Linked DNA regions of Mus musculus. The protein of the gene in region 5 interacts with the protein of the main gene of each other region in a pairwise test. Links are inferred from orthologs where the notes say so. Each region holds a gene or a part of one and is shown on either strand. Other genes may lie near its edges.

Region 1 (3,897 bases), on a different chromosome or scaffold from region 5:
CCAGGTTGAGTGTAGAGCCTTAGTAGATGTCCCTTTACCACTGGGCTCTGTACACTGCAGCAGATGCTGGGTGCCTCTGCTGCATTTTAGCCTCTAGTTCTGGGAATGGAACCTAAGGCCTTTGCATGCTCCCGCCGAGCTGTGTCCCTGGCTCTGATGTGTCATTTCTTGAACAATCTAGATGAGGATGGGGACTTGGTTGCCTTTTCCAGTGATGAGGAGCTGACAATGGCTATGTCCTATGTGAAAGATGACATCTTCCGCATCTACATTAAAGGTAAAGGCTGAATCCGGGGCTTCCTTCCTGTGGGGCTTTCCTCGAAGGGTCAGGAGTCGGAGTTGTGATGCCTTGGGGTGGGTGTAGCGGGGCTGGGAGTTGTCAGAGGCACAGAGGTCCTGGCCTCCTAAGCGGTTGTCCTTAGCAACTAAGTTCTGGATGGACTCTTTGACTCTCCCTGCAGAGAAGAAGGAGTGCCGGCGGGAACATCGCCCACCATGTGCTCAGGAGGCACCCCGAAACATGGTGCACCCCAATGTGATCTGTGATGGTTGCAACGGGCCTGTGGTGGGAACTCGCTATAAGTGCAGTGTGTGCCCAGACTACGACCTGTGCAGCGTGTGCGAGGGGAAGGGCCTGCACAGGGAACACAGCAAGCTCATCTTTCCCAACCCCTTTGGCCACCTCTCTGATGTGAGCCGGGGCTCTGCCGTCCTGGGGCGTGGGGGGCATACAGGGTGGTGGGAGCTGGAAACCCTGACCCCTCACTCTCCTCCTGTCTTGCTTCCTCCTACCCAGAGCTTCTCTCATAGCCGCTGGCTTCGGAAGCTGAAACATGGACACTTTGGCTGGCCTGGCTGGGAGATGGGCCCACCGGGGAACTGGAGCCCACGTCCTCCTCGTGCAGGGGATGGCCGCCCTTGCCCTACAGCTGAGTCAGGTAAGACTGGTATTTGAACTAGCTTTTGGGTGTCTTAAGTAGCCAGCTAGTTCAGGTAGGCCCTTGGCCAAGCCATCCCCATAGCCTAAAGTCCAGAAGTACCCACACTGAGTTGCACATTACACATCCCTTTACCTTTTTTTTTTTGTCTTTTGGGGGAATGGAGGTTGAACCTAGGGTCTTACACATGACACATAGGGGTTCCTTTTTTGTGCTACACTCTATCCTTATCCATGGTATCAAACCCTCTTAACCCCGAAGAGACAAAGCATTTCTCTTTTACAAGTGGGTAAACAGGTGGCTGAACGCCTGAGCCCACTAATTTCCCTAAATGGCCCACCGTCCCCTGCCAGGCCGCCCTTGGGAGGCATGGGTAGGTGGCTGGATTTCTAGAATGTATTTTCTTTTGTTTTGGGTTAACTTGGGAATATCAGGGCCATAGGTGCTCAAATCTTTAAACAAAAAAACCCATGGTCCCAAAGCCAGGCGTGGCAGCACGTACACTGTAATCTCAGGCCTCGGCATGTAGAGGCTAGAGGACCAGAAAGTCAGAGCCAACTGTGGTATAAGATCCTGTCTCAAAATCCTGAAAGCAAAGAACTCACAAGTGGGTGGGCCCACACTCTAGATTTGGGGTTTCTGCCTTTTGATTTTTTTTTTCCCTCTTGAGTCTCTCTATGGCCCTGGGGAGCCTAGAACTCACTGTGTAGCCCAAGATGGCCTTAAACTTGAGATTCTCCTGCCTCAGCCTCTTGAGGCTTAGTTTATAGACATGTGCCAGCCCAGCCAGCCGGGCTCTGTGGATTTTGAGTAAACAGCACATCTAGGACAGGGTCAGTATTTATACATGGGCTGTACTGAGCCAGAGAGGCCCAACATGTGACCCACTAGGGGACCAAGCTTGCAGAGGGGAGGGGACAGGAGGAAGTACCAAGTATGGTCAGGCAATCCCAAGCCAGGAATTACCTCGATGATAGGAACCTTGGAACCCATGTGCTGGGACTGTGGTAGGTGGCAGTCACAGAATTTGAGGTCATCTTTCTTCTTGTAAAACAGCTTCTGCTCCACCAGAAGATCCCAATGTCAATTTCCTGAAGAATGTGGGGGAGAGTGTGGCAGCTGCCCTCAGCCCTCTAGGTGAGTGAGCTTTCTTGCCATCCTGTGAGATACCCTAGTGGCTTGGTGACTGTCTTAGTTTGGGTTTCTATTGCTGTGAAGAGACACCATGACCTCAGCAACTCTTATAAAGACAGCATTTCACTGGGGCTGGCTTACAGTTTGAGAGGTTTAATCCATTATTGTTATGACAGGAAGCATAGCAGCACAAGGCAGACATGGTGCTGGAGAGAGGGAGCTGAGAGTTCCACATCTGGTTTGAGATTCTGAGCCCTCAAAGCCCACCCTAGTGACTCACTTCCTCCAACAAAGCCATGCCTCCTGATAGTGCTACTCCCTATGGGTCTATGGGACCAATTTTATTCAGACTACCACAGTGGCTCAAAGTGCAAATAGTCTTTGGCAGCCTTTCCTGGCATGGTGCAGGGGCCAGGGCAGATATGTGTGCTCGACTCCAGCAAGGTTTTGTTGTGTAAAATTAGCCTTTGCTGCGGACTGGAATGGATGGGCGCCTGAAGGTTGAGCTCCTGGCTGACTTTGAGCCTTCTTCACAAAGCAGAAGGAACTAGTAGGGGAGATAGATTGGCAGATGGGCCAGCTGATCACAGCTTTGGGTAACAGCAGCCTGCTTTTTCTGAGCCAAGTGGGTTGTATTTGTTTAGACTTGAAAGCAGGCCGGTGATTTGTTCTTCTTTTCTTTAGACAAGGCTTCACTGTAGCCCAGGCTGACCTTGAACTTGTGTAATTCTCCCTTGGTCTACCAAGTGCTGGGATTTGTTTTCTCACAAGCCTCTCTGAGACGGAGAAGGTGCTAGAGTAGGGACAAGTGCTTTGGGTTCTGCCAGGCTCCATGCAAAGGACAGTGGCGGTCTGCTGAGGTGGTGGCCGGTGTCATCTCTATACTGTGATGCTAGGCACCGGCTGTTGGACACACTGGTGTGGTTTAGAAGGTGCTTGCCCACATCTGGTTACCCTGTTGGCAGTGTTAGTAGTTGGCCACAGGAACCTGTACAAAGGCTGTGTCAGTATCCAAAGGAATGCTGATGAAGCGTGTCCAAGCCCCACCAGTCTCCACTTCATCTTGTACCAGGTGTGACCACCGCTCGCTGCAGGCAAGGCCATCTCTGCTCATGCTGCCCCAGGGGCAGCTCTGAGGCAGTAGGGACATCCTGGCCTGGCAGTTAAGTTGAGCAGCTGAGGATGAGCCGTGCTGGAGCTCTGTGTTAGAGTGTTAAGACTGTGCGTTCAATTCCCAGCACCAACACCAAGCACAGACAGGGCAGTTCAGTTAGACCATGGCCTTAGCACTGGAGGAAGAGGCTCTTGAGAGACACAGCCAGCTGATGGCTTTCATCTCGGGCACTTGAAGCACCTGACCCTTTTGCTACATAAGCTAAGGCACCTGGAAGTGGGCATCAGAAATGAGCAAAGGAATAGGCGGCCCAGCATTTCAGCCTCACTGGCCTGACAACAGCTGAAGAATCCTTGCTGAGGGAAGGCCAAATGCCTAACAGAACACCAGCTCCTGGCAGCTGGGTTTTCTTGGTGCCTGCCTCTGGATGCTCTATATATGTGAAACTGACAGCGGTCCTGGTCATGCCAACAGAGTGTCTTGCTAGTGTCTTTAGGATCAGAAGCCATATATGACTATCTCAAAGGGTCATCTGGGGGCCAAATCCCATATGCGTTGTGGAGGGCCTGACTACTGAGTGTGCTTTCCAAGGAAAAGCCAAACCTGATGGGTGCCTGATAGCCATGAACCACAGAAAATGAAAAAGACTCTGGAAAGAATCAGGAGGTTATAATACAAAAGGGGAGATGTACTCTTGACAGTAGCGAGAAG
Region 2 (4,380 bases), on a different chromosome or scaffold from region 5:
CTTTTCTTTTGAGCAAACACTGACTACTTATCAAGGTACAGTAGTGTATACCTATAATCCCAATATGCCAAACGACGGAACTGTTTCAATAACAAAAAACAATTCTCAAACACCAAAAAAACCACAAAACCCCCACTGTAGGGCACAAGACAAAACATTACAAAAATAATTGCATGTGGGAGGAATTTGTACACTAGAGGGGATGGTGACAGGGAAAGAGATGAAGAATAAACAATGGGCTACAGACATGAAATTTCAAAGAACAAACAGTCAAACACTCCACCAAACTTTTCACCTAATTTAATAGAAATAATAATAATAGCAACCACCTCAGTAGTTGCGATATATGTGCCAGGTCATTTATGTTGGGTAGTCCTAGAATAGAGTATTTTTCTTCCTTTTATAAGGTAAACTTAAACTTGGAAATTATATGTAAATTGCCTATAATGACACTTAAAATAGTTGACTAAAATTGAAACTTACTGCTCTGGTTAAAATGTTTATACATATACCACCACACAAGCTGCCAGCAGACTCACCAACTTTCAATTACACTCAATTTCTCTACGTGTCAGTGGCAACCTACATTAAAAATTAGAAGTTTTTTGTCTTCTATTACTTCTTGCATTGTCATTGAAAATTCTCTTTCTCCATTCCATTGGGTTTATTGTTATGATTATGCAGTGACTTCATAATCAATGCCTGTTTCTTCTAATGGTTTCCTCCCGGAAACTCCACTGTAGAAACTGTGAGTCACCTTTGCCTATCCCTTCACTAAATGTCTCATGTTTGGTCTCCCTACTACCTCCTAACATAAAAATATAAAGACAGAGACATTAACACTGTCTTGGAATTGTTCTTTGATGTTACACTGTAGCTGTTTTTCAAACCTTTCTTCTCCCAAATACATTTATATTATTTGAACAAAGAAACTATGTTTGATTCTTGGTTCTTCACTCAGTACAGTTAATAGTCAAACACTATGTGTGCTTTGTAAACAAAACAGTACAATATCAAATATTTATATTAAAGAATAAATGAACTAGGGACAGGGGATCCATTTAGATGGTAGAGTGCTTGCCTCCCATTCATTGAGCCCTGGCTCAATCTGTGGCAGCTCATAACAGCAATTGTGGTAGCCCACACCTGTAACTTAGAGGTGTAGGTAGGAGGATAAGAAGTTCAACATTATTCTTAGGTACATGAAAAGTTCTAAACCAAACTCTGGTTCATGAATCAAATTAGCTAAGCAGCTCACCTGTGATGTCAGGAAAACTAATACAGAGTTGCTTTGTTTTGCTCTTGATAAAGTCCATAGTAAGCTCATCTTATCTAAAATGGGTGGCAGCTTTTGCATACAAATTAGCACACATTTCTTTTGGAGCTTATTTAGATTTATTACTGTTAGGATATGATAAATATTCAAGCAGAAATTTAAGAGTATTATTTCATTGTAGATTTCAGTGACAAGTATCTACTTCAAAACAAGCTAATGCATTTTTATTTGCATATCCATTCTATAAATTGTTCTGATACTGAGGCAAATGAGATGCTGGGACAATATGCCTTCAATAGTGCCTCCACTATGGCACTAGTGGGTTTAAAAGAAAATAGCAATGCAAAGAGGAACCTGATTTTCTCTACCAAATTACAGAAGTATAATTATAATGTGCGGTCAGGGACCAGGAAGACATGGAGCTTTTCCTTAAGAGTTAAGAAGTCACTGGATTTGGACATGAAGAAGCAGGATATCATCTCCCAACCAAGCCAGACCTTGAATTCTAAGAACACAAGGACACTTGTTGAAAACAAACTAAAGGAGCATTTTCTCACATCAACCTGAATCATTTCTCTTACAAACTGCTCTAATTTCCTTTATAAAACAAAAACTCCAAGATCAGAAATGTAAGCCACAGTAAAGGCTGTAAAATGAACCAGTTTCTTTAAGAAATTTAGTAAATATTCATAATGATGGTCATGATCCGAAATAACTGTCTGCATGCAAAGCTATCTTTCAAAGTACTCTGATCTTAGCATCTTTGGTTTCATTGTACTAACAGAATCGAAATGTCTTTACAAATCCATCCTTCTCTTATGTATGGGGGTGGGAGGTTGAAGACTTAAACAATTCAGTATGAAACGCCAGCTGTGGGCTCTGGAGAATCAAGCTTATGAGTTCTTTCAGACACCTTGTACTCTGAGGTGCTGTGAGATCTCAGGGTTAAGCTGAGGTGTCATAAAGGAGGAAGGCCATCTTCACACAAGTCACAATTATGTGCAAGCCCAAATGCTGCATAACATCTGGCATAGAATCACATTATATTCCCTTTTCAAATATATTTTAAATATCACTAATGTCACCTAAATGAAGAATTATGGTTGTGGTGGCACACACCTGTAATCTCAGCTTTTGGTAGGTCGTGACTGGCATGAGTTCTGGGGTACAGATCAAGTTCCATGCCAGTTTGGGGTACAGGACAACACCTCAATGTCTCTAACAACTAACTCTCTAAAGCTGGTCCGCATGAACTGTACAGCCTTTAAACTAAGAATTCCTACAGACTTCGGGTCGGTGTGTTTGTAAGAGCCAGCGCCCAGGGGCTCAACTGAAGTGACCTCCACTGTCTGCCCCTCCGCATCCCTTCCCCACACTCTTTGACCGGAGCGGCCATGGGAGGTGCTGACTCAAACTCCCAGCCAGTTGTGGAAAGTGCTGCACTCAGTACAAAGGTGACTTGACACAAAGTTCGTAACTTAAACTATAAATGTGTCAACCGCCAAACTCGGCGTGAACGTTTAACTGGCACTCGGGCTGAGCCACAGCGCCGGGATCCTGCAGCGAGATGGGACAGCACAGCTGTCAAACTCAGTGACAGCCTCGGCGGGCCCTCGTCGCCCAGCCCGCCCCGCCTCAGGCCCGAGTGTCCGCGGCCCCGCCCGCCTGCGGCCCTCAGGCTCGAGGGCCCCGGCTGCACCTCAGGATGTTGTCGGCGTAGGTGAGCAGCAGCTTGGAGGCCTCCAGAAAGGTCTCCGGGGTGTTCTGGCATAGCTCGGCCACGGCCGGGGACGCAGAGCTCGACGAGCTGCCCAGTGTGGCCGACGCCATGGCTGCGCCGCGGCCTTCGCCACCTCGCGCACCGCGGCCCGCACTGAGCAGGCGCTGAGGAGCGCCTAGGCCGCCGCAGAGGCCTGCGGCCAGAGGGCGGGGCGAGGAGCCGAGGGGCGGGGCGTTCCGGGAGGGGCTAGGGGCGGGGCGAGCCGCGGAGAGGCCGGTTGCGAACGTTGGGGTACGGGGTACAAGGGGCCGAGCCAGTGGAGTAGATCTCGAGCTGTGGTGGCTGCTTGTGTCGGGTAGGGTCCCAGAGATAATTGCACAGCCTTCTTTTTACGGTAGATAAAAGTCTTTTGTGGAAGAAAAGACTCCAGAAGACCGAGCAAGTTTTTGTTATGTCTTTTTTTTGGGGGGTGGGGTGGGGTGGGGGCGGTTATGGGGAAGGGAAAGTGATCATGGTCTGTGGCCTAGGCTGGGCTCACACGGGAATTTACTGCAGTCTTGCCCTTTGGTTACTAGTGTCCGGCTTCAAAAACAGAGCATAGCTCAGAACTCTTCTGGGTTTCTGATTTGTGTATTTTCCGAATTCTGTTGATGAAAACTCAGTTGTTGCTCACAAGGTATGATTCTGATGCAAGGAGCATTTTGGGAGTGTCCTATGGATACTCGCATAAAACCCATATACAATAATAGAATAAAATGAGGAACAAACAAGTAAATAAAGTTTATATACACATTGTATCCTTTGACTCATACTGGCATATCCCTTACCAGTATCCTTAATTTATCTTAGAAAGGGAATCACTAACCTCCTTAGCTGATGCCCTTGTCACTGACATCAACCCTGGAAATTGGCTCCAGCACTGAGCTTCATACTCAGTCCTCATTACTTCTTTTTCTTCTTCAGAAGAGGGTTTCTCTGCATAGTTCTGGGTAAAGTGGAACTCCAGCTATAGATCAGCTTGAACTCAGATCCACCTGATCACTGCCTCCTGAGTACTGGAATTAAAGGCTTGTCTACCACTACCTGGCTTTTTTTTATTACTTTTTAATGTTGAAATGCCACTAAGAGTGCACTTGACCTTGATTTGTAGTCAGGAGTTTTCCATGCTCCACTCACCTTGAATAGCTGGAATTACATATATGAATCACTAGCACGTAGCAGGTACTTGTTGGCTTTGTGTTTTAAAGATATTTACTTATGTGACCTCGTTTGACACTTTATTATCTGTTGTTTTTTAATGTTTCTGGGCAATTTCTTCGGAGAATTTTCAAGAACTTCTGAATATTCATCTGTAAAATATACCTACATTTTTAGCACTTAGGTT
Region 3 (4,507 bases), on a different chromosome or scaffold from region 5:
AAGGAAGGAAGGAAGGAAGGCAGGCAGGCAGGCAGGCAGGCAGGCAGGCAGGCAGGCAGGCACCCACCCGCTTGAAAGGAGGAGCTGTCTTTCCCTCCTTCATCTAGTCTCCACAGTTAACTCATTCCTTAGCCTGGGGCCATAGCTCAGTTGGTAAAGTGTTTGTCCAGCATGCACGAAGCCCTGGGTTCCATTCCTAGCACCACAAAGAACAGGTCTGGTGGCCCACACCCAGAATCCCCGTATCTCATGGATAGAAGGAGGAAATTCAAGGTCTTCCTTAGCTACACATAAGAGTCTCAGGCCAGCCTGGGACATGAGACGTATTATCTCAAAACAGCAAACAAGTAATCAAAGAAACAAAACCCAAGATGTTCCTTTGGGTGATGGACCAATTGATCTTGGGAAACCTGCGCCTTGGGCTGCCTTCAGACTTGCTCTGCAGCTCAGGCTCTCCTCCAGATAGGCCCAACTCACCACATTTAGCTTCTTCCTTCTTATACCTCACCCGACTTCCAGTCCCACCCGACTGAGTATCTGGCCCTCTCTTAGACAGGAACCTGCCTGTCTGACTTGATGCTTCATTTAGCATCCCTCTGTCACAGCCCAGCCGCTCACCACATAGCAGCTCTCACAATATGCCCGCCTCTCCACAGCATAGAAGTGCTGGCCCCGGAGCTGGGCCCGACAGGTAGAACACACAAAGCAACCAATATGGAAGACACGGTCCAGGGCCACAACCCCAGCTCCATCGCCCACCACATCTTCGCCACAGCCACCACACCGACCTGAGGACAGAGAGGAACGAGATCAGCCTCCACAGACCCACAACAGCAGATCCTCTGTCTCCTCCCTGTCTCCACCCTATCCAGCAGTCAGCTCACCAAAGTACTCCCCACTGGGAGGGTGGCTCATGTCATGCACCAGTTTCTTGGTCAGTCTCTCCAGTTCCTCTTCAGGAGGTTGGCCTAAGGGGCCCTAGAGTGAGAATTGGGGCTTTGAGGCGCTGCCTATAGTCTCAGACACCATAAATAACTCATACAGTCAGGAACCCCAAAATCTCAGAGGACATCTCTCAGAAGCTGATAGGGGGAAAGGAAGCCCCTTCCCTTTGGACATCTTGATCCTTGACCTCTGAGTACCTTAAAACTGGGATTGACTTATGCACTTATTTATATTTGAGACAGTGTCTCATATAGCCTAGGCTGGCCTGGAACCCATTATGTGCGTCAAATATGACCTTAATTTACTGATTCTCCTGCCTCTACCTCCCCCGCACTTGGTTTATACAGTGCTGGGTCTAGAACCTTGGGATTCCTGCATACTAAGCAAGCACTCTACCAACATCTCCTAAAAACAGTATCTTAAGTACTCCTCGGCCTCCACGCCACCTAATCAATGCCCAGTTACTTCCGGTGACCACAAACCACAGTGCCCAGCCCCAGCTTACCTGAGGCTCATGCCCACCTCCTCTCCCTCCTCCTGCAGGGATATGTACTCCAGAAGGTCCCTCCGGAACCCCCGGTCCTGGCTCTCGGTGGCTCCTATAGCCAGCCCCCCAGACTTCACCACGACCTGTCAGAGGAAAGTGGGGGCCTGGAAGAGGCCCAGAGGCCTGAGAGGCCCCTCGCCTGGGCAGTCCACAGCCTCTCACAGGTTGAGCCACCTTCACTTGTACAGGGAAAGCAGGGCCAGCTGGCGTGCTCGCGGTAGCATAGGAGGCTGGGGTAGGTCCACCATAGTGGGATGCTGGGAGCATCGGGGTTGGAACAGCACCTCCACTGGGCTTCAGGGAGCCTCCGCGGTAAGCATGGGGTGGGGGAGCCTCAAAAGCCTGGGAAGACAAGCAATGCAGAAACAGTAAAGCCAGACCCAAGATCCATGCGTGCCAGGTGGGAACCCCAGGGTAGCAATGACTTCTGACAAGTTCCCATGGCCTAGGCCTGCCAAGGAGGAAGTGCGTGATTCCTTGAACCAGGTGTTTATTAGTTGCAAAGAGGGTAGGTGGGCAGTGAAGAGGGTGGACTGAGGCTGAGAAGCTAGGGCAGGGAACTGGCTGAGGATGGGGAAGCAGAGACAGAACACAGGAAGTCACCTGTCTGTCTGGCCGCCTAGGTGCATGACTGCGACCCCCGTCCAGATCAGCCAACATGCTGGTGAGCGAATCTATCTCAGCATCCAGACTGCCAGGGCGGATGATCCCCCTGTCTGGAGGGAGCCCCTGAGACAGAGGGAAAGGAGGAAGAACAAATGCTGATGACACCCCCGACCTAGACTTCTTTCACCTTGACCCTGAGAGACCCTACCCTCATCTCCACTTCTCACCTGCAGGCGCTGGGGTGTTCCATGGGATCCCACCCAAGTAGGCCCCCGATCTTCCGGTACCCCCGGAGGCTGATAACAGTGTTCAGGCGGGAGGGGGCAAAAGTTGACCCTGGGGTGAGGCTGGAGTGCTAAAGGGAGAGACAGGAGGTGGGACTGGAGAAGGGTACCTCGGTAGAGCTGCCCTTCTAAGGGTGGCTCTCCTTCTTCACATTCCCGGGAGTCTGGGAATCAACCAAGAGTCAGGGAAAGTTGCACAAGAGCTGGGGCCTCTGGTTTGGGAAAGGGACAGCAGGAAGCAGGCAGGCAAGGGAGAAAAGGTGAAGGAAGGTGGCCAGCGGCTCTTCTGCTACTCCGGCGTGTGTGAGAGAGGAACACTTACTTGCTCCGTGGGCCGTTGGCGGGCCCAGGGCGCCTCTGGGCAGCGATCTCCCCTGAGGGAGTCTGGAGGGTTCTGGCTGCTTCGGGGGAAGCCAGGTGGGCCCGGACATGGTCTGGAATAGGGTTACTCCACTCCAGACAGAGGTCAGGGTCCCCACAAGCTCAGAGCCTGGAGCTCGGAGCCTTGGGCCCTTTCCCTCCCTTACTGTCCCACGCCCCGTTTGGGACTCCCGCAAAGAAACTTTTTCTGGCTTTTTTTCCTCCCTTCCTCCCCAATTTTGGAGACGACCACGCCCCCTGACGTCACCACATTCCAGGGGAGGGTCACGTGGCCCCAAGCCTTATTCTACAATCCTTCCCCTCTCTGGCCCCCTCCTGTTAAGAGAAGACCGCCCTCCTCCGGAGCCAAGCTGCAGGGTGGGCTGCAGGCCGCTCTGAGAGGCTCTGGCCCAGCAATTCTCTCGGATCCCTGCCCCAGTCTTGCACGTGGCAGCCTCTCGGCCCAGGCTCTGAACGCATCTGTCTCCACCCCCTCACGGTTCTCTCCCTTCCCACCCGGCTGCCTCTCACCTACCCACCAGCAGTGCTCCACCAGCCCATAGTGTTTCGGTCTTTTATTTATGGTCAGTAGTTAGAAAAATAAAACAAAACACAAACATCACCACCCAAGGAAGTCGGGGAGAGGGAGGCGGTGCGTCTGTGGCCAGGATGGGGACACTGAGGTAGCCTAGAGTCACAGAAGAGGCCAGCCCCTCTGGTCAAGGCACCAGTGAAGGAAGCGGAGGAAGACCAGGGACAGGGCCGCAATGTCCTCCCCTACAATGGGGCAGCCACCTAGAATTAGTGTACTATGTCCGTTCCCCCGCCCAAAGGAGACCATGGTCCCCTTAACACATCATCCAAAGGGCAGGGCCCACTTGGGGCGGGGGGAGGGGCGTCCATTGCTCAGAATGAGCCTGGGCCCGCTCTATCCAACCCTGTATGAACAGGCATCAGAGATCAGTGCAGGTTACCGGAGTGACCCCGTGAATAAGAAGGGTGGGACCCAGATCACGGCTCAGGGTCTCCAGCAGTGCCAGGTATCTGGGGTAGCGAGCAGGATCAGCAGGCGGTCGAGGCAGGTACAGGAAGGTAAGGGCTGTGGTGGGTCCCTCCTCCCCATCCCTTCCTTCGGGTCCCCCAGGGCCTCCTACGGTGCCTCGCCCCTGCTGTGCTCGCACCAGGGCATTGGCACTGCAAGCTAGAGCCTCAGCCTCTTCGTCTCCTCGACCACCATTCACAAAGTCCCCTTCCTCCTCCTCAGGCTCGCCAGTCTCTGCCCCTTCACCCCACACCACCTCTTGCACCTCTGCCCGGATCCTGAGTTGACTCAACAGGGCCCGAAGCCTTCCCTCTGCTGCCCCAGGAGCCTCCCTGGGCCCCAAGCACAGGAAGATCCGGAGCCGGGCACTGTGCCAGGCAGGCACCATGCTTAAGATGGTAGCCATCTGCAACAGAAAAAGGCCACAGACGTCCACGTAGCCAGGTCCACCCCGGGGCCTCAGCAGGTTTAAGGGCCACACGTCCACATGATGTAGCTGAGCGCTGCTACTGGACCCCCGGCTTAGCCGCTCCGGGGGCAAAGCCCCACATGCTCGTGCGAGAACCACATTCTTGTTCATCTTGAGAGCATCTGCCACCGTGGCCACGTAGTCTTGGGGACTGAGAGCCCTGGGGCTCCCAGGAGCCCGAGGTGGAGGGAACAGCGTGCTCAGGGCTGGCGACCCGCCCTCTCTGGTGCCCTCTGCAGGTTCAGAGAAGGCTG
Region 4 (3,746 bases), on a different chromosome or scaffold from region 5:
TGCTCTGTCATTCTTCCAGTATCATTTATTAAATGTTTCATATAATATTCATTGTAATCCTCTTTGGCTTCTGGATTATTTAAAATTGTGTGTGTGGTTTAATTTCTAAATTTTTGTGGCGGAGTTTTCTATCCTAATTTTCTCTTCCAATATACCTTCATTTTGGTGACTTACACATAGAGACTACACAAACAATAATTGCAGACACTTCCAGCAGTGCGCCTGAGCTAAGGGCCCAGTCACGCCTGTCAATGCATCAACACCTCTAGAGATGCTTCCAGCCATGGCTTTGTGGCATCTCAGCTGAGCTTCAGATGGAGCAGTAGGCAAGCTATCTCTCTGAACTTTGCAGGGTTTCTCTCCAAAGACAGGGTTTCAAGTACCCCGAGGCTGGCCTCGATCTCATCCTGAACTCTTTCTTGATCTTTACTTTCAACTGTGAAGTGCTAAGTTTCGGGGGTGCAGTACCATGCCCAATTTACAGTGTACTGAAGACTGAACACAGGGCTTCATGTGTGATAGGCACCCTACCTACTGAGTTACATCCTTAGTCCTCATTCTAAGTGTTGAGTGACACTTCGTAAAATTCATACAAAGCATTATGCCGCACCATTTCACACAGCAGCAGTGAGACTTCCAGGAGGAACATTTTGTTTGTAGAGTTGACGGCAGAAAGCATTATGAGCACTTGGTGATACTGAGTCACAAATGTAAAAGTGCAAGGGTGTAGTTAAAGAAAAGTCTTTATTTACGGTATTAGCTGGGGCCATAATAAATAATGCAATATGCTAATGTAACAGTAGAGATTCTCATGCATTACCACACTTATAAATATACAAGAAAGCTGGCTTGCAGGAGAGTGTACTTAGCAATACAGTGAAAGTGAGAATAGTAAGCCCACAAAGCAAACAGATTCTTCCCCTATCGTTGTAAAAACCACATTCCTGTGCACCTGTGAACAAATAGAAGTTCCCACATAGTAGCCTTTTTAAAAAAATTTTTATTTTATTTTCTTTTTTGGTAAACATGCTATAGTTAAATTAGTTACCAAATAGCCAGGGTCTATAATTTGTGATTTATTAGTATTTCTGATGAAAAACAAAATTAACAAAAATTGACTTCTGCATTTTGATATGGAGGCTGCTAAAATAATACAGTAAAATGAAATGAATGAAGTGATATTCCAGGCAGGTTTTTGTGACTGATTCCATTTATAAAAATGCTATAATATTGTGTTTATAATCTGGTAACAACCAGTTCCCTGACTGCAGAAGCGATGAACTTTAATTAAAGCTTAATTTTGTTAGTAAATTTCACAGAAAGGAGTAAAATAGGATAACCTTTAACATAAAGCTTTAGAACAAATAATTTAAACGTATCTTAAACACTGAAAAATGTGTTTTTAATTGTTATTTATAGTTAATTAACAATACCAGTGTTTAGCTTTATGTAGCCAGTCATGAATCCCCCTTTCAACACCTGGTTTGACAATCTTCCTTACAAATACTCAGGCAACTCAGTTGAGCGAAGGACAGCGGTCTGTGGTCCACAGTAACTCAATGTATGGCCATTTGGTTTGCAGACAGCGTTTAATAGGAGTGTCGTCTGTCTGTAGCATGGGGTCTTCAAAACCCATAACCACTGCAGTCCCTTCCACATACATTACCTGCCGAGAGGAAAAGCCAGGAGGTCAGTTAATGTTCGTAGCCAGTTCTCCGTAGCTACAGACAACGTCACAGGCAAGTGCATTTCTAAAAGCAAGTTACGTAGAGCTTCACATCTAACTCTTTTCGTAGGAATTATACCCAACTAGAGCAACTGCAAAACAAACTTGTGAATGAGATGGTAACATACATTTTAATTGTTAGTTAACTGGTAAAACTGATAATTCCAGATCAAGACAAAAAAAAAATAGGTGAATCATAAGCATACACTTTTAGATGACAAATCATTCTTCAAATGATAGACACCAGGGCATGTCTTCCCCTGCTGTCCACATGGCATGCTGTGTTTCCTCTGGCTGGGCTACCAAGGCAATCAGTTGCTCCTGCTACTCAACAGAGAGTTGCTATGCCCTCTGACTTGCACTTCTGTGCACTTCAGATTGAAAGATGACGTGCATGCATGCTAATGGAATCTGCTGTCTCTGGAATGAATGGTTTTTGAAATGCAGTTCTTGAGTGTATTTTACATTGTATGACAATCATGGAAGAAAAAAAAATCACAAAGATGTGAGGACAGACACAAGAGTCATGGAAGGATGACAGAGTAAACTAACCTGTGGAAATAATCATATTTGATATAATTTGTTGGGAAGATACCAGAAAACATTATTTTGCTTATTTTTTTTCAAAGAAAATACTTGAAATTATTTGACATACCAGTAGAACCCTAACTCACTATCAAGAATTCAAGTTATGTTAATTTTATATTAAATATGTAATTGAAAGGGGTGGCTATGAACTGCCCTTTTCCAGAGTATGTGTAGCTATTTTTACCCACTCAGTGTCTGATACACATGATTGCAATTCTGTTTTAACATGAAAGCCATAAGCTATGCGACCAAGGAGCCAAAAGAAACAAGCTTATCAGCCTTCAGCAAGAGTTCCCTTAAAAACACAGCTGCCTAGGCAAAGAATGCTACACTACTAGGTCACAAAATTTGGCTTTTTTTAGGGAAGTCCAAAGGCATTACGGTGAAATACAATTTCATATTTAAATTACAACTCAAGAGTTTTCAACCTCAGAACAAAAGTGCTACTTTCTAAAGAGTTGTCTAAAGGGATATAAGTCAGGACTGGGCCTGGTTCCCCAGTTGCTCACTGTATCAGAGCAGGAACCCCTCTGCAAAGCAGTGGGATCTAGTCTGTGCTTTCCACAGTGGCTGCTGCCTGGCCTGGTGGCTGCAGCCTGGACTAGCAGACCCCTCTTGGTTTGTTTGTTTGTTTGTTTTGTTTAGCCTGCTATCTTGAGTGGGACTTGACTGAGCACTCAGGCCTGTTTCTAGCCCCTGCATAACTTCAGGACCTTATACTTTTGTATAAATGAGATGCATGCGTTGCTTTTATGGTTGTTACATAGTATGTCATGTTAATTTTCCATATATCTTAATTTCTGATCTTGTGTTAGTATGTCAGATGCTTGTCACAAGCATGATTTGAAGACTTACTATATACAGGCAGCGTGGCCAAGAAGACCAAGGACAGGATTGGGAATCAGGAACTCAGTTCCAATCCCTGCTCTGTCAATGACTTGCTGTGTGACTCTGGGTGAGTCACTTAATCTCCCTGTCTCAGAGGCCTCATCTGTAAAATATGGATAATATTTGACTACCTTGCAGGGATTGTGGCAGTGAATTAATATTTCGTGATGACGAAGCTAGGCAAACTTCAACAACTAGGCGAGCATTCATTAATACACAATAAGAAACAGCACCCAGGGGCTCTTACTGATTGTACAATATTACAGATGTCAATAAACTCAGGAAATGATTTTTGGGAATATGAAAGGTTTTGGTTTATATTTTGTTATGAAAATAAAAGTAAAATTTAGCCTTTTAGTTTGGTTTTAGTGAAGTATGTAATTTACATTATGATGTAGTTTCTGTTGCCATCCTCCAAACAGCATGAGATCAAATTGAAAAGGCCTAACTCCTAATAAAAGACTGTGGCTTTTTCCAGAATAAATGTAAACACAACAGACTTGCCACTAGAACACAAAAACTGGCATTTCATTCAAAAGAGGGA
Region 5 (3,623 bases):
GGACAGAGAACGTGGAGGGCAGGGATGAGACCTTCCTGTCCTGTCAGGCTGCTCACTTGGGAGAGGGGAAGGGGATCTGTTTGAAAGAACTAAAAAGCAGGATCCCTGACAGGGAATTCCAGGAAGCCCTGAGCCTGAACATGGTTCTGTCCAGGAAAGCCAGGCGCCTGAGCAGCCGGCCACAGAAGCAGGTGAGCAGGTTGGATGGTGTCCTCATGGGCATCTGCAGTCTGGATTCCGAAGCCCCTGCAGGGAGGGCTCTGACCACACTTCTTCCTGCCACCAGCAGGGGAGAACCCCCTGGAGTTCCTGCGGGACCAGCCTCAGTTCCAGAACATGCGGCAAGTGATTCAACAGAACCCAGCGCTCCTGCCTGCTCTGCTCCAGCAGCTGGGTCAGGAAAACCCTCAGCTCCTGCAGGTGCGGCCCAGGGTGAGGGAGCTGAGACAGCCACCTTCCCAGTTCCTTAGGGGATCACCCAGGGAGGTAGCTTTGCTCTGAGAAAGCAGAACTAGCAGAGGCCAAGCCCCTGCTCCCTGATGACTTCTAAGGTTACATTGTAACCTGACTCCTAGGGAGGTGTGGATGCTATGGGCATCCATCTGCTGAAGACATCAGAGGCTCAGAGCAGGCTGCCATATGTCTGGCTGGGTCCTGGACTCCAGCCACAGCATTCTTCTCAGTTCTTGCTCTGTCTGCAGCTCCTCTGTCCTGGCCTTCTTCCTGATCTGACCTTCACCTTGACCCTCTCTCTATGTGGTGACCTAAACCTGTGTCATTATACCAGGTCCCTTGGGACCCTCTCATCTGAGCTGTGAAAGGATTTCCTGGACCTCTGAGTTTTCAGACCATTCTTCTCTGTTTGAGCCTCTCACAACCTCCTGGGGACTCTCTCTGCTTCTACCCCAATATCAGCCATTTCTCCCACCCAGTGTCCTGGCATCCTCTTCTCGAGCCTTTTAATTCTACACAGGGCCCCCGATGAACTGTCCACCTAGAGGCTAGATTGCTGAAAAGGCCCTTTTTAATGTGAGAATTGTCAGATGTCTGAAGAAGCAAAGGGTGGCATCAGAACCTCTGGATTTCCAAGTAGAGTGTATTTAATAGGTACCGTGGCTGGTCATGGTAGTGTACACCATTAAGCCCGCACTTAGGAAGCTGAGACAGGAAGATCACTGAACTTGAAGCCAGCCCCTTCTAGTAGTGAGATCATCTCAAAACAGAGAAAACCTAAAGGTTGTGCAGCTTGAGTGCCTCACTAGTGGGCTGCTGCTCTTAGCAGCTGCAGGCCTGGGTTCCACGGTGGCTTTCCTCTGCCAGGGAGAACGTTCAGCTTCTCTGTGCTGTTCTTGCCACAGAGCTCTTCTGAGATTTGCCCAGTAGAGCCATCCCAGGACATTTTTACAGGCTGTGTGTTTTAGCCACACATGGCTCTACCACAGACAGTAGGCCCCTCCTACAAGGCCTTAGGGACTTACCTAGCACATCTGCAGTTAATTGGTTTGAACTTTGTTTTTGTTTTTTCCCCCTTTAAATCTCACTATGTAGGTTAGGCTGGCTTAAAACTCAGGTTGATTCTCCTGCTTCAGCCTCCCAAGTGCTGGGATTACAGGTATGAACCACTATGCCGAGTTTCGGCACATTTATTTAACTTTTTTATTTGTCTCACCATGGAGCTCTGACTACTTTGAAACTCTTCTGTAGACCAAGTTGGCCTAAAACTCAAATCCACCTGCCTCTGCCTCCCCAGTGCTGGGATTAAAGGCATCTGCCACTATTTCCATCTCCCCACCTTGGCACCATTTATTTCCACGGCTTATTTCCATGGCTGCATGGCTGTTTAGCCAGAGCATGCACCTTCAGAGTATTTGACAGTTTGGTATAATAAGCAAGGGGTATAACATGGGACTTGGGCATAGGTGATGAGGACTGTGAATTCTCACCCTTCTTCTTCTCACAGCAAATTAGCCGTCACCAGGAGCAGTTCATCCAGATGTTGAATGAGCCTCCCGGGGAGCTGGCGGACATCTCTGATGTAGAGGGGGAGGTTGGTGCCATAGGTGAGGAGGCCCCACAGATGAACTATATCCAGGTGACACCGCAGGAGAAGGAGGCTATAGAAAGGGTAAGAGGCCTGGCTGAAGAGCCATTCATGGTGGGTAGCCCAGTACCTCCCCCTTCTTACCATTGCCCATCTTCCCACAGCTGAAGGCACTGGGCTTCCCAGAGAGCCTGGTGATCCAGGCCTACTTCGCGTGTGAAAAAAATGAGAATTTGGCTGCCAACTTCCTCCTGAGTCAGAACTTTGATGATGAGTGATTCTGGGAGGCCAGGGCCTCCCCCCTTCCCTCCCTCCCCACTCCACAGACGTTTATAAGAGAAAGTATATATATATATATATAACATATATATATTCATGTTTAAGAGGAAGAATATCAAAAACCATTAAAAAAACAACAACAAAAAAAAACCCAGCCCAGCTTCCCACCCTCCTGAAGTGGCCCCCATTCCCATATCAGTCCGAGAAGACCTGGGCCAGACAGCTGTCCCCGTCCTCTTAACAGCCCAGCCTACTCAAAAGTTGTTGGCAAGACCATGAGGCGACAGATGGGCCCCTCTTGGCCTCTGTCCCAGCTCCCTGCAGCCAGATGGAGGGGCGCCTGCCTGCTTCCCCATCCCTGAAGCATCCCCAAGGACAACCCTCCTTCCTCCACCATGATGAGGGGAAGCTGGAGCCCTAAGCTTTGATCCTCTATTGGAGTGGCCCAGATCTTTCCATCTGGAGTAAGTCTATGTTAGAAGCCAAAGGCCTTCTCCCCAGTCTGGCCTTGGCCTCCAGCCTGGAAAAGGGGTTATCATCAGTTCTGAAGGCCAAGGCCACCCCTTCCCCAGGACAGAACCACATCTCTGATAAAGGTTTTGACGTGAATAAAGTTTTAAAAATGAGCCCTAATAATGGTTCATGCCTACTGGAGCTTCTCACAGCTGTTTGTGAGTCTGAGCTAGCCGGGGGCACAGGTGAAGTGGGCATGCTGAGAAACGGGGAGGAGCCTAGGAGCCTTACAGACGGGCCCCAGCATCTCCTCCCTCTGGAAACTTGGGCCCCTGCCTCAGCTCAACCCTAGAAGGACTGCTGCTCCTTCTATCATGCAGTCTGTTTGGCTGTACTCCCCCTGGTAATTGGCTAATTACTGGAGATTAATGTTGGTAAACAGAAGCCTCCTCCTCTCCTGCCATCTGCTCCTTCATTATTTGCCCATCCATTCCCCTTTCTCTCTCCCCAAAGCCCCAGTTCATGGCATGGCCTAGTGTCCAGGTGTGAACACAGCCAGGTGGAGGGATTCTCCCGCCCAGGTGTTGGGGAATGAGCCGGGCGACCCAGGAAGTCACAACTTGAGGGAGAATGTGTAGAATATGGGTTGTCAGCAGCTGGCTTTATTGGGAAGGGAGCTTTCAGGAGCTGGGTTCACCAGACACTGCTGAGTCCTGGGCTTCAGCAGAGGCCATAGCAGCAATTCGTGCCTCCTTCTTCTGTCGTTGTCTTTCTTCCTTTAGGCGCTTTCGTTGCTGCTTGTCTAGGTCCTGTAATAGTTCCTGGAAGCGAGCACTCCTTGGGTCCACGT
Region 6 (4,344 bases), on a different chromosome or scaffold from region 5:
AGGTGTGACATTAAGAAACTGTTAGGTGTCAAACCTGGGACAAATAGCTGGGGTGCCTAGTTAACATGTCAAAGCTGACCTGGCCACCAGGTTCTCCCAGCATCCCTCAGTCCAATACCTGTTACAGGGTCCTCTAGGCTGGCATATCCGGCCCCCTAGCTTGAATCCTCCAGTCCAGGGGGCTGAGCTATTCTTCCCTATATAATCCAACCATTTTGGCTCCCTACCCTCTTTGTAATTTGGGTCTCCTGCTGTACTTGGTTCTGCTGCTCTCTCTCCTCCCTCCCCCACCCCACATCACAGGGCACAGCTCAGTTCACTCTGTACTCTCCCAGATGTTCCTGCCTCTGGCTGTGCTCTCCCACATATCTATAATAAACTTTCTCCTCCACTATACCTAGGACCAGGCATGTCCCTTTCCTTTTTATTTCTCCTTTTTTTTTTTTTTTCATTCAGAAATGACTGTATTGTATTCTCAGAGAGAATGATGTTCGAATACATAGTTACTTAGTGAGGAGATCGGAGAAATAGGACCCTGATGGGCTTGACTGAGGCTTGGGAGAGGAACGCCTCAAAATATTAAACGCATGCTTTGAGACTTTGAATCTTCTCCCCCATTCCGCATTACTTGACAATCAGCGTGAAGAAGTAGAAAACTAATTTAGTTTGTGGAATTTAAGCAGTATGAAAATTCAGCGGTTTACTATTTTAGGAAATGTATCACCTGATATTTGTGTGCCATAAATATTAGGGTCACGTCAGAAGAGAAACTTGATTTTACGACCAATTTTTATATTTGAAAACACGAAACACTGTTTTGTACTAGTTTTATATAAAGAATCACGGCCTCTTAATCTCAGCCCCTCCGGGCTTGCCTCTTCAAAGGGCTTGATGGGGACCTACAGAGGTTTCTAAAAGGCTATAACTGAAATTAAGTGCTTCGTCAAAGGGCGATTTTGTGGAACTCTCTCCCATTTTACGTCGCTAAACTTAAGTACAATAATGTCACATGTATACAGTATTTGTGGGCACGCCTAAGTCCCTCCCTCTCTCCTTGAACCAATATCTCCACATATTAGAAATCCAGCCCTTCTGCCCTCCGGAGGCGCCTTTCCCAACGTAAAGTACAATTTTAAAATTTAAGCTCCCGACTAAAAGAATGATCCCCAATCAACTGCTGGGGAACCTGGGCGCCCTAGTGCCTGCGGAGGGTGCAGTCGGGCGTGGGCACGGACAGGGGGAGTGGGCGAAGCTGCTGGTTGGTGCCTGAAATCTGTGCGTTGCCCCTTTAATTGTGTCCTCAGCCCTCGGGCGTTTCTGTCCAACGCCCACGTCAGCAAATACCTTTTGTTTCTCCCACGTTGGGGCTACTTGTTTTAGGGCGCAAAGCCTCGGCTTCGGAAAGGGGCTGCTTCCCCTACCCGGAACCGGGAATCGCTCCGCAGCGCGCGCGCGCGCGAGCGAGCGAGCGAGCGAGCGGCTAGAGCCCCGCGGTAAGTGGCTGCACGGGCGCGGGCGGGAGGAGGGCGGCCCGGGCGTCGGGGCTGCGGGCCGGGCCCAGAGCCTGGCGGAGGGCGGCGGAGCCGCCGGGGTGCGCCCCGGGACTGCAACCCCAGCCGGTGCGCCGGGCGACGCAGGGGGCACCCGGCGCCATTTGCAGCCGGGGGCGCAGAGCGGCGGCTCCGAGGGTCGGCGACGGCCACAAAGGAGACGCGGGCGGCGGCGGCGGCCCCGGGCGCGGCTGCGGGACAATGGCTGCACCGTCGCCGCCCGCGCCCGCCCCGCCGCCAGCCTTGGCCCGGCCCGGGGAAAGGCGGGAAGGCGCCCGAGCCTCCTGACGGCCGCGGCGGCGAGGCGGCGCCACGGGGCCGGGCGTGTCTGCAGACGTCGGGCGCGGGGCGCGGGGCGCTGCAGCCCGGCGGTCTCACTCCGCCCTCCACTCTCTGGTTTTCCATCACGACGCGACAGTTCTGGGCTTAGAACCGAGGGCAGAAATATGGAGCCCCAGCTGGCCCCGCGGCAGAATGTCCCTGGCATCTCCCACCTGGAGACACTGTCGGCTTTAGTCCCTTCGCGCTCTGGCGCGCTTACTCGCCCTTGACCGTGCGGTTATTCGTAATCCACGTCTTTGCGAGACGTGTTTGGAATAGGATTCACACCTAGCGGGCACCCAACCACACACGCCGCCAACACCTAGAAGTCTTTCTATTTGCAGAACTTTAGTAAATGGAGTGGTTTCACTTTGACGAAATATTGCACTTAATTTCTTATGAGACGGCTACGGGTTCCGGCTGTTTATTCTACCTAGCAAAGGGGAAAGGGGGAAAAATAAAACGCTAATGGTTAGGGAGTCTCATCCCTAGGCAGGGAGCTGAGACGTGGCAGCCCCCCAAGGCGCCCTGTTCTTGCAGCGTCCCGGAACAGTCTCCAAAGTACCAAAACCTTCGCTGATTTTATCACTTAAATCGCACTTTTATTTACCTATTTATTCTTTGTTTTAAAGCGGACTCAGGCTAGACTTGAAAATTTGATCTTACCTCCACCTCGGGAGGGCTGGGATGCACTAGGCAAATTTTTGGCACAATTATATACTTTTTAATATTCAAAGACGTTAATATAAGTTTTAAAACTCCTCTTTTAAAAAGCTATTTTATATATCTTTTTTTTGAAGGCACTGTTTCATGTACCCCAGGCTAGCCCTAAATCTTGGACCTCTGATTCTCTTGCAGCCCCTACCAAATGCTGGGATTACAGGCATAGATCACCACACCTGATATTATCCTGTACTTGAATTGAACCCATGCATGTCACATAGGCACTCTACCACTAAACCCAGCCCTCTCCAAACCTTAAATGGCTCCTTCACATCCTACTAAAAAAATAAAAAAATCCAAAACCCCCATGGTGTGTGTGTGTGTGTGTGTGTGGTGTGTGTGGTGTGTGTGCGTGTGGCGTGTGTGTGTGTGTGTGTGTGTGTGTGTGTGTGTGTGTGTGTGTATTTTGAACCCGGGCCTTGCATGGGCTAGGTAAATGTTACCATTGAGATACATCCCCAGGCCCCTTATTTTAAATTTTAATTTTATTATGAGATGAGGGTTTTCTCAGGGTTGCCTTGGTCTTACTTCTTCCTGCCCCGCCTCCCAAGACCCTGGGGTTAGCCGACATTACTGGCACACCACAGTGACCTCCTCTCCCCACCCATCCCTCCTCCATCTGTTCCTGTCCACCTCACGGCCTTTGCACCTGCTGTTTGGTTTGCCTGGAGTAGTTTCAAAGATACACATTCTTTCCTGCTATGGACACCAATCACTCAGATGTCATCTTCTCGGTGAGGCCTTTCCAAGTATAGTTTCAAAACTCGAGTCTCTCTCTATTTTTTTTTTTTTTTAGATTTATATATATATGTGTGTGTGTGTGTGTGTTGCCTGCCTTTGTGCCAGTATACCAAGTGCTTGCCTGGTGCCAGATGAGGGTGTTGAATCCCCTTACATGGATGTTAGAGATGGCTGTGAACCTCCATGTGGGTGCTGGGGATTGAACCCAGATCCTTGGAGAAACAGCCAGTGCTTTTAACTGCTGAGCCATCTACCCAGTCCCTCTTAAGTGTTCTAACATTTCATTCTAAGACTTTCCTATCTTAGACCCTGTAGACCATATGTGCTACTAAGATTACCGAAGGTCAGGTCACATAGAAGGAACAGATATTACTGGGCCGTGGCGTTGCATACCTTTAATCCCAGCAGAAGCAGGCAGATCTCTCTGTTTTGGAAGCCAGCCTGGTCAACAGATCAAGTTCCGGGCCAACCAGGGCTACATACACAGGGAATCCCTGTCTAGAAGAAAACAACAGAACAGATATTTACTTCTTGCACTGGTAGATGCTGGGAAGCACAAGATTATGGTGCCCTGTGTGGCTTCTTTCTGCTTCCCGGAAGGCACCTCTTCGTGGCATACATAATGAGGGTAAATACAGTGCTGTGCCTTCATTAGTAAAATGGGTAGAAGGGATGAGGTGGAGAGCAGACCTACTCCTCCAAATCTCTTTATTAGGATGCTAATCCCGTCCCCGAGGGCAGCACCCCTCCCCCCAGGGTGGCCTAATCACCCCCTAAAAGCTCCTATAATACTCTTCCTCCTCTGCGAGTGAACTTTCAGCCTGAACTTTGGAGGCGACACAGATTTCTAAAGCTCAGCTCTTAAGTTGTTTCTGGACTTAATTCTAAACCTTCCCAGAATTGTACATGGCCGTTCGTCCTCCGAAGAAATACAGTCGCCATTCAAAGAACAGTTTGCTCTCTTCCCGTTAGCCCAAAGTTAGGAGGTGGGGTTTTTACTAGGACCACA
Region 7 (3,897 bases), on a different chromosome or scaffold from region 5:
CCCATATTTTATGGATGGGTTTCATACAAAACTTTCCATTATAGTCCACTAGGCTCTAAAAGGCGTATCCAAGCTCATGGTCACAATAAACCATGTTTTAACTCAGCCCTGGTCAACTCAATGGGCAAGGAAAAAAAGAAAAAGAAAAAGAAAAAGAAAAAGAAAAAGAAAAAGAAAAAGAAAAAGAAAAAGAAAAAGAAAAAGAAAAAGAAAACCAGACAAGAGCAGACATGAATGCTTGTGGGAACTTGGTGGGGCAGAGTTGCAGAGGTCAGGGAGGGAGATGGGAGAGGGTCAAGGGTCAATATGACTGTGAACATGCAATGTGTACATGTGGGAAACTATTGATCAAACTTTAACGAAACAAAAAAGTAACTAATGAAAAACAAAAACACAAATGGCAACCTTTTGGATTTAGAGTAAAAACAAAATACACTTTATAGTGAGGATATTTAACATTGTACTAAATTTGAAATATTCTATCATTTAAAGTTGTTTTGAGCTAAAACTTTCCCTAACGTGTATTCTATGGATATTTTGCATCAGATGTGAATTACTGAATAGCATTAATGATAAGAACAAACATTTTTCCCATATTCGTCCTCTCTGCCTTACCTTTCTCTCTGAAAGTTTTCTAGTCCAGTTATGAGATACATAGTTGTTTCTCGGAATTTCTTATAATCTGCATGCCACTCCTGTATATAAAATAGTAAAAATGAAAAGAATAAAACTATGGTAAGAATATAAAACAATGTATTGTTCTGATAGTTTTGCAAACAAAGAGAAATGAATTTAAAATTTAAATAACTTAGCACACTACTTTTTAGTTTAATTATAATAATTATAATAATTATAGTAGTAACAATACTTATCAGGCATTTAGTCAGGGGTTAGAAATTAATATTACTAGAAGGTTAAGAATATAAGGCATAAAATAATGAAATGGCAGGATGACCAAATGTTTTTTTTTTTTCCCAGAAGACATTCTTCAGTATAAAATGTACTAATATTAGAAGAGTCCAGACAGGAACATTCTATTGATGCAGTTCTGTCCAGAGCTCCAACTTGTTGCTTGATATAGAATTTTAAGGAAATAAAAAATGCCATAGTTCACTTATTTATTATGAAATATGGGGGATTTCAATCGTGTTGCCAAGCACTCTGCTGACCTACGGTGAAAAGTAAGACTCCCTCTCCCACAAGCAATGGTAGGCAGGGACACTCAGGGCCAACAAGCCACAGCAACAGCAAGAGCCCCTGCTTTTTAAAGGATGCTTAATAAAAATTAGTTAAAAAATAAAAAATTCAATATAAGGTTTATCTAGAGATAGTTCCACCAAACCTTGTAAACTTGCTCCGACTCCGTTCTGACGGGCAAATGCAGAGGAGGGCATTCTTCTCTACGTCGCCCTTCCCCAAACACACAATTTCAATTCTTGCAAGTCATAATTTTGATACTATGAGTTGATAACCATAAAAAGGTAAAATCCTACAAGATCCTGTTACCTATTCTGAAGTTGCCCTTAGAAACTCCAAGCAGCAAAGTTAAAAGTTTGTAAATAAGACCAAAGATTAATGAAAGACATACGTAAAAGTAAATTTTTCAAACTTAATTTTAAAAGCACAAATAGACACTACATTTCAAATTTGGTAAGTTAAAATATATTTTCAAACCAATGTCAACAAAGGATTTTGTCTATACACCCAGACAAATCTCATTAGCCATGAGACAAGTGTGCATGTACACACTCAGAGACAGCACTGTCTGAGGATCACCATGTCAGATGCCACGTGATGGCTAAAATGACTGTTTAATGTCTTTCTAACATGTAGGATGGATCAACGGGAAAGCAGAAAACATAGCAAATAATCAGGATAGACAGAAGGGCAGTTAGACTTGTAGGTTCTGTGTGCAGTCAGAGAGCTGTAAATTCCTACCTGTGAAACCTTCAGCCCGTTCAGCTCCTATCCCTATACCTCCTGTGTTCATGTACAGACCAGTAATAATAAAACAAATAATAAATAAAAAGCATGTACCACCACATCTGGCTGTTTTTAAACATTCTCTTACAAATTTATGTGTGTGTGTGTGTGTGTGTGTGTGTGTGTGTGTGTGTGTGTGTGTGTGTTGGCTGTGGGGAAGAGAGAGGCACGCTTCCCAGGGTAATTGTGTGGAGGTAAGAGGACCTCTCTGTGCCATTGTCCCATGGAATTGGAGGATAATATCTGGATTAAATTAGTCAATACACCCGCAGTGCTTAGAAGAACATTCAGCAGGCTCTTTATTTGCAATTTCAACATTAATGCAGTAAATTGCACTTATTAAAGAGAAAAACTATGTATAGAAGTAATTGAAAACTGGTTTATGAAATACAAGAGCACTTATAAACATAAAAACCAAAGGTTTTCTTTAAAACACTTTAGCCATTTAAAACATTTTGTTCCATTCTCCATTATGACGTATGCAATGTGTCTACTAGAGGTCAGTATTTCCCAAAAGCACACTACCTCATATTCTTCCAAGTTCACTTCTTCAGGTTTGATCATTTCCAGTTTGGCTTGGGCAACTTTCATTATGTTGTGACACCTTCAAATATAAGAAAGGCATTTCTAAATTAAAAACAAAATCCATAAAAACCATAAAAGCATGTTGCATAAAACTAAATTTCCAAACACATAAAAACAAAATCTTCACAATTGCCAGTGGGATGACGCAAAGGTTTGGTGGCCTGATCACTGTCAATCAGCAGTTCTCACAAGTGCCTAGAGTGGTCCTCTGATCTTCACACATATACCACAGGAGGCATGTCTCACCCCCTTCACCACCCCAGCAACACACACAAATAACTTCACACATATACCATGTCAAGCATGTCTTACTCCCAACCCCCAACAATGCACACAAACATGAACAAAAATTTTAAAGATTTAAAAAAGGGCTGGATACAGTGGTGCACACCCTTAATTCCAGCACTCAGAAATCAGATTTAAGATCTCTGTGAGTTTGAGTGTATCCTGGTCTATACAATGAGTTCCAAAAGACAAATCATGGTTATAAAGTGTTTCAGAAAAAAAAAAAAGTAACATTTAGTATCTTGAAATTCTATACTTGGAGTCTTTTTTAAATGATATTCAGACTAACAAGAAAAAAAATAACATTAGTTTTATAACAGATTCTGACAAAATATAGTTGCAAGTGAAAAAATTAACTATTTTATGTCAAAATTTCTGTATACACTCGACTTTCTTCATGGATTGTCTCAGAGAAGCAAACTCACCTCCAGCTTCCAGTGGCTACTGGGAATATATGGGAGATGCTTGGGTCTTTCTAACCCAAGGGACTGGCTTCTCTCAGTATTGGTTAGAGTTGCTGCTGTATCTGATAAGCCACATGGAAGCCTGACAATAAAATTACTTAGCCTAAAATCTCCACAGTATAGACGGTGAAAAATCACATTTTCTTTCATAATTTGAATTATCCAAATTACTTTTAGGTAAAACTTTAAAAGGCCATAGATAGAAACTTTAAGAGAAATGGAAAAGCAAACAATCAAATTAATGGAAGGTAGGTTTGTGCTATATTTGTTATAGTTTTTGTGCAAACAAAAGATTTACACTTGAGATTAGCAAATCCAAACCAAACCAGAATAAGACAAGTATGAACACATGAAGTAGATGCTTTGGGATTTTAGGTTACCTTTCATCAAAACTCAAATTTCTATCTCCAAATTGTTCGAGTAATGTTTTCTCAATGATTTTCTTTGGTGCCTGGTTCTGGATAAAGTAGACCAGGACATGATGTAAACGATAATCTGTTTCTGGTGGAGTATCTTCTTGGGCCAACTTAACCAGCCTAGAATACTCTAATTTAATTGCCTAGAAAACAAGAGCAAAGAA

Evidence for each region.
Region 1: the proteins of Rad23a (region 5) and Sqstm1 interact in binary tests that used the Homo sapiens proteins (3 or more experiments, as listed by UniProt). The two-hybrid records come from large-scale screens. The link is inferred for Mus musculus from reciprocal best matches to the Homo sapiens genes RAD23A and SQSTM1.
Region 2: the proteins of Rad23a (region 5) and Ngly1 interact in binary tests that used the Homo sapiens proteins (3 or more experiments, as listed by UniProt). The two-hybrid records come from large-scale screens. The link is inferred for Mus musculus from reciprocal best matches to the Homo sapiens genes RAD23A and NGLY1.
Region 3: the proteins of Rad23a (region 5) and Trip6 interact in binary tests that used the Homo sapiens proteins (3 or more experiments, as listed by UniProt). The two-hybrid records come from large-scale screens. The link is inferred for Mus musculus from reciprocal best matches to the Homo sapiens genes RAD23A and TRIP6.
Region 4: the proteins of Rad23a (region 5) and Mindy3 interact in binary tests that used the Homo sapiens proteins (3 or more experiments, as listed by UniProt). The two-hybrid records come from large-scale screens. The link is inferred for Mus musculus from reciprocal best matches to the Homo sapiens genes RAD23A and MINDY3.
Region 6: the proteins of Rad23a (region 5) and Zbtb8a interact in binary tests that used the Homo sapiens proteins (3 or more experiments, as listed by UniProt). The two-hybrid records come from large-scale screens. The link is inferred for Mus musculus from reciprocal best matches to the Homo sapiens genes RAD23A and ZBTB8A.
Region 7: the proteins of Rad23a (region 5) and Usp25 interact in binary tests that used the Homo sapiens proteins (3 or more experiments, as listed by UniProt). The link is inferred for Mus musculus from reciprocal best matches to the Homo sapiens genes RAD23A and USP25.

What each region holds. Positions count from the first base shown.
Region 1 is NC_000077.6:50,204,201-50,208,097, reverse strand, and holds part of Sqstm1 (sequestosome-1), read left to right. Parts: intron 1-181; coding exon 182-277; intron 278-461; coding exon 462-691; intron 692-796; coding exon 797-938; intron 939-1,994; coding exon 1,995-2,075; intron 2,076-3,897. UniProt on the Homo sapiens protein: Molecular adapter required for selective macroautophagy (aggrephagy) by acting as a bridge between polyubiquitinated proteins and autophagosomes.
Region 2 is NC_000080.6:16,248,093-16,252,472, reverse strand, and holds the start of Ngly1 (peptide-N(4)-(N-acetyl-beta-glucosaminyl)asparagine amidase), read right to left. Parts: upstream 3,160-4,380; 5' UTR 3,107-3,159; coding exon 2,976-3,106; coding exon of another isoform or gene 2,974-2,975; exon of another isoform or gene 2,665-2,973; intron 1-2,664. UniProt on the Homo sapiens protein: Specifically deglycosylates the denatured form of N-linked glycoproteins in the cytoplasm and assists their proteasome-mediated degradation. Cleaves the beta-aspartyl-glucosamine (GlcNAc) of the glycan and the amide side chain of Asn, converting Asn to Asp.
Region 3 is NC_000071.6:137,311,256-137,315,762, forward strand, and holds the start of Trip6 (thyroid receptor-interacting protein 6), read right to left. Parts: upstream 2,987-4,507; 5' UTR 2,814-2,986; coding exon 2,705-2,813; intron 2,454-2,704; coding exon 2,326-2,453; intron 2,222-2,325; coding exon 2,096-2,221; intron 1,835-2,095; coding exon 1,451-1,834; intron 979-1,450; coding exon 885-978; intron 789-884; coding exon 619-788; intron 1-618. Other genes in the region: Slc12a9 (solute carrier family 12 member 9), read right to left, coding at 3,696-4,507. UniProt on the Homo sapiens protein: Relays signals from the cell surface to the nucleus to weaken adherens junction and promote actin cytoskeleton reorganization and cell invasiveness. Involved in lysophosphatidic acid-induced cell adhesion and migration.
Region 4 is NC_000068.7:12,346,538-12,350,283, forward strand, and holds the end of Mindy3 (ubiquitin carboxyl-terminal hydrolase MINDY-3), read right to left. Parts: intron 3,306-3,746; exon of another isoform or gene 3,170-3,305; intron 1,667-3,169; coding exon 1,517-1,666; 3' UTR 727-1,516; downstream 1-726. UniProt on the Homo sapiens protein: Hydrolase that can remove 'Lys-48'-linked conjugated ubiquitin from proteins.
Region 5 is NC_000074.6:84,834,257-84,837,879, reverse strand, and holds the end of Rad23a (UV excision repair protein RAD23 homolog A), read left to right. Parts: intron 1-112; coding exon 113-191; intron 192-286; coding exon 287-420; coding exon of another isoform or gene 421-501; exon of another isoform or gene 502-1,791; intron 1,792-1,960; coding exon 1,961-2,125; intron 2,126-2,205; coding exon 2,206-2,319; 3' UTR 2,320-2,953; downstream 2,954-3,623. Other genes in the region: Gadd45gip1 (growth arrest and DNA damage-inducible proteins-interacting protein 1), read right to left, coding at 3,454-3,623. UniProt on the Homo sapiens protein: Multiubiquitin chain receptor involved in modulation of proteasomal degradation. Binds to 'Lys-48'-linked polyubiquitin chains in a length-dependent manner and with a lower affinity to 'Lys-63'-linked polyubiquitin chains.
Region 6 is NC_000070.6:129,374,889-129,379,232, reverse strand, and holds the start of Zbtb8a (zinc finger and BTB domain-containing protein 8A), read left to right. Parts: upstream 1-1,204; 5' UTR 1,205-1,493; intron 1,494-4,344. UniProt on the Homo sapiens protein: May be involved in transcriptional regulation.
Region 7 is NC_000082.6:77,107,864-77,111,760, reverse strand, and holds part of Usp25 (ubiquitin carboxyl-terminal hydrolase 25), read right to left. Parts: intron 3,877-3,897; coding exon 3,698-3,876; intron 2,588-3,697; coding exon 2,509-2,587; intron 696-2,508; coding exon 616-695; intron 1-615. UniProt on the Homo sapiens protein: Deubiquitinating enzyme that hydrolyzes ubiquitin moieties conjugated to substrates and thus, functions in various biological processes including inflammation and immune response.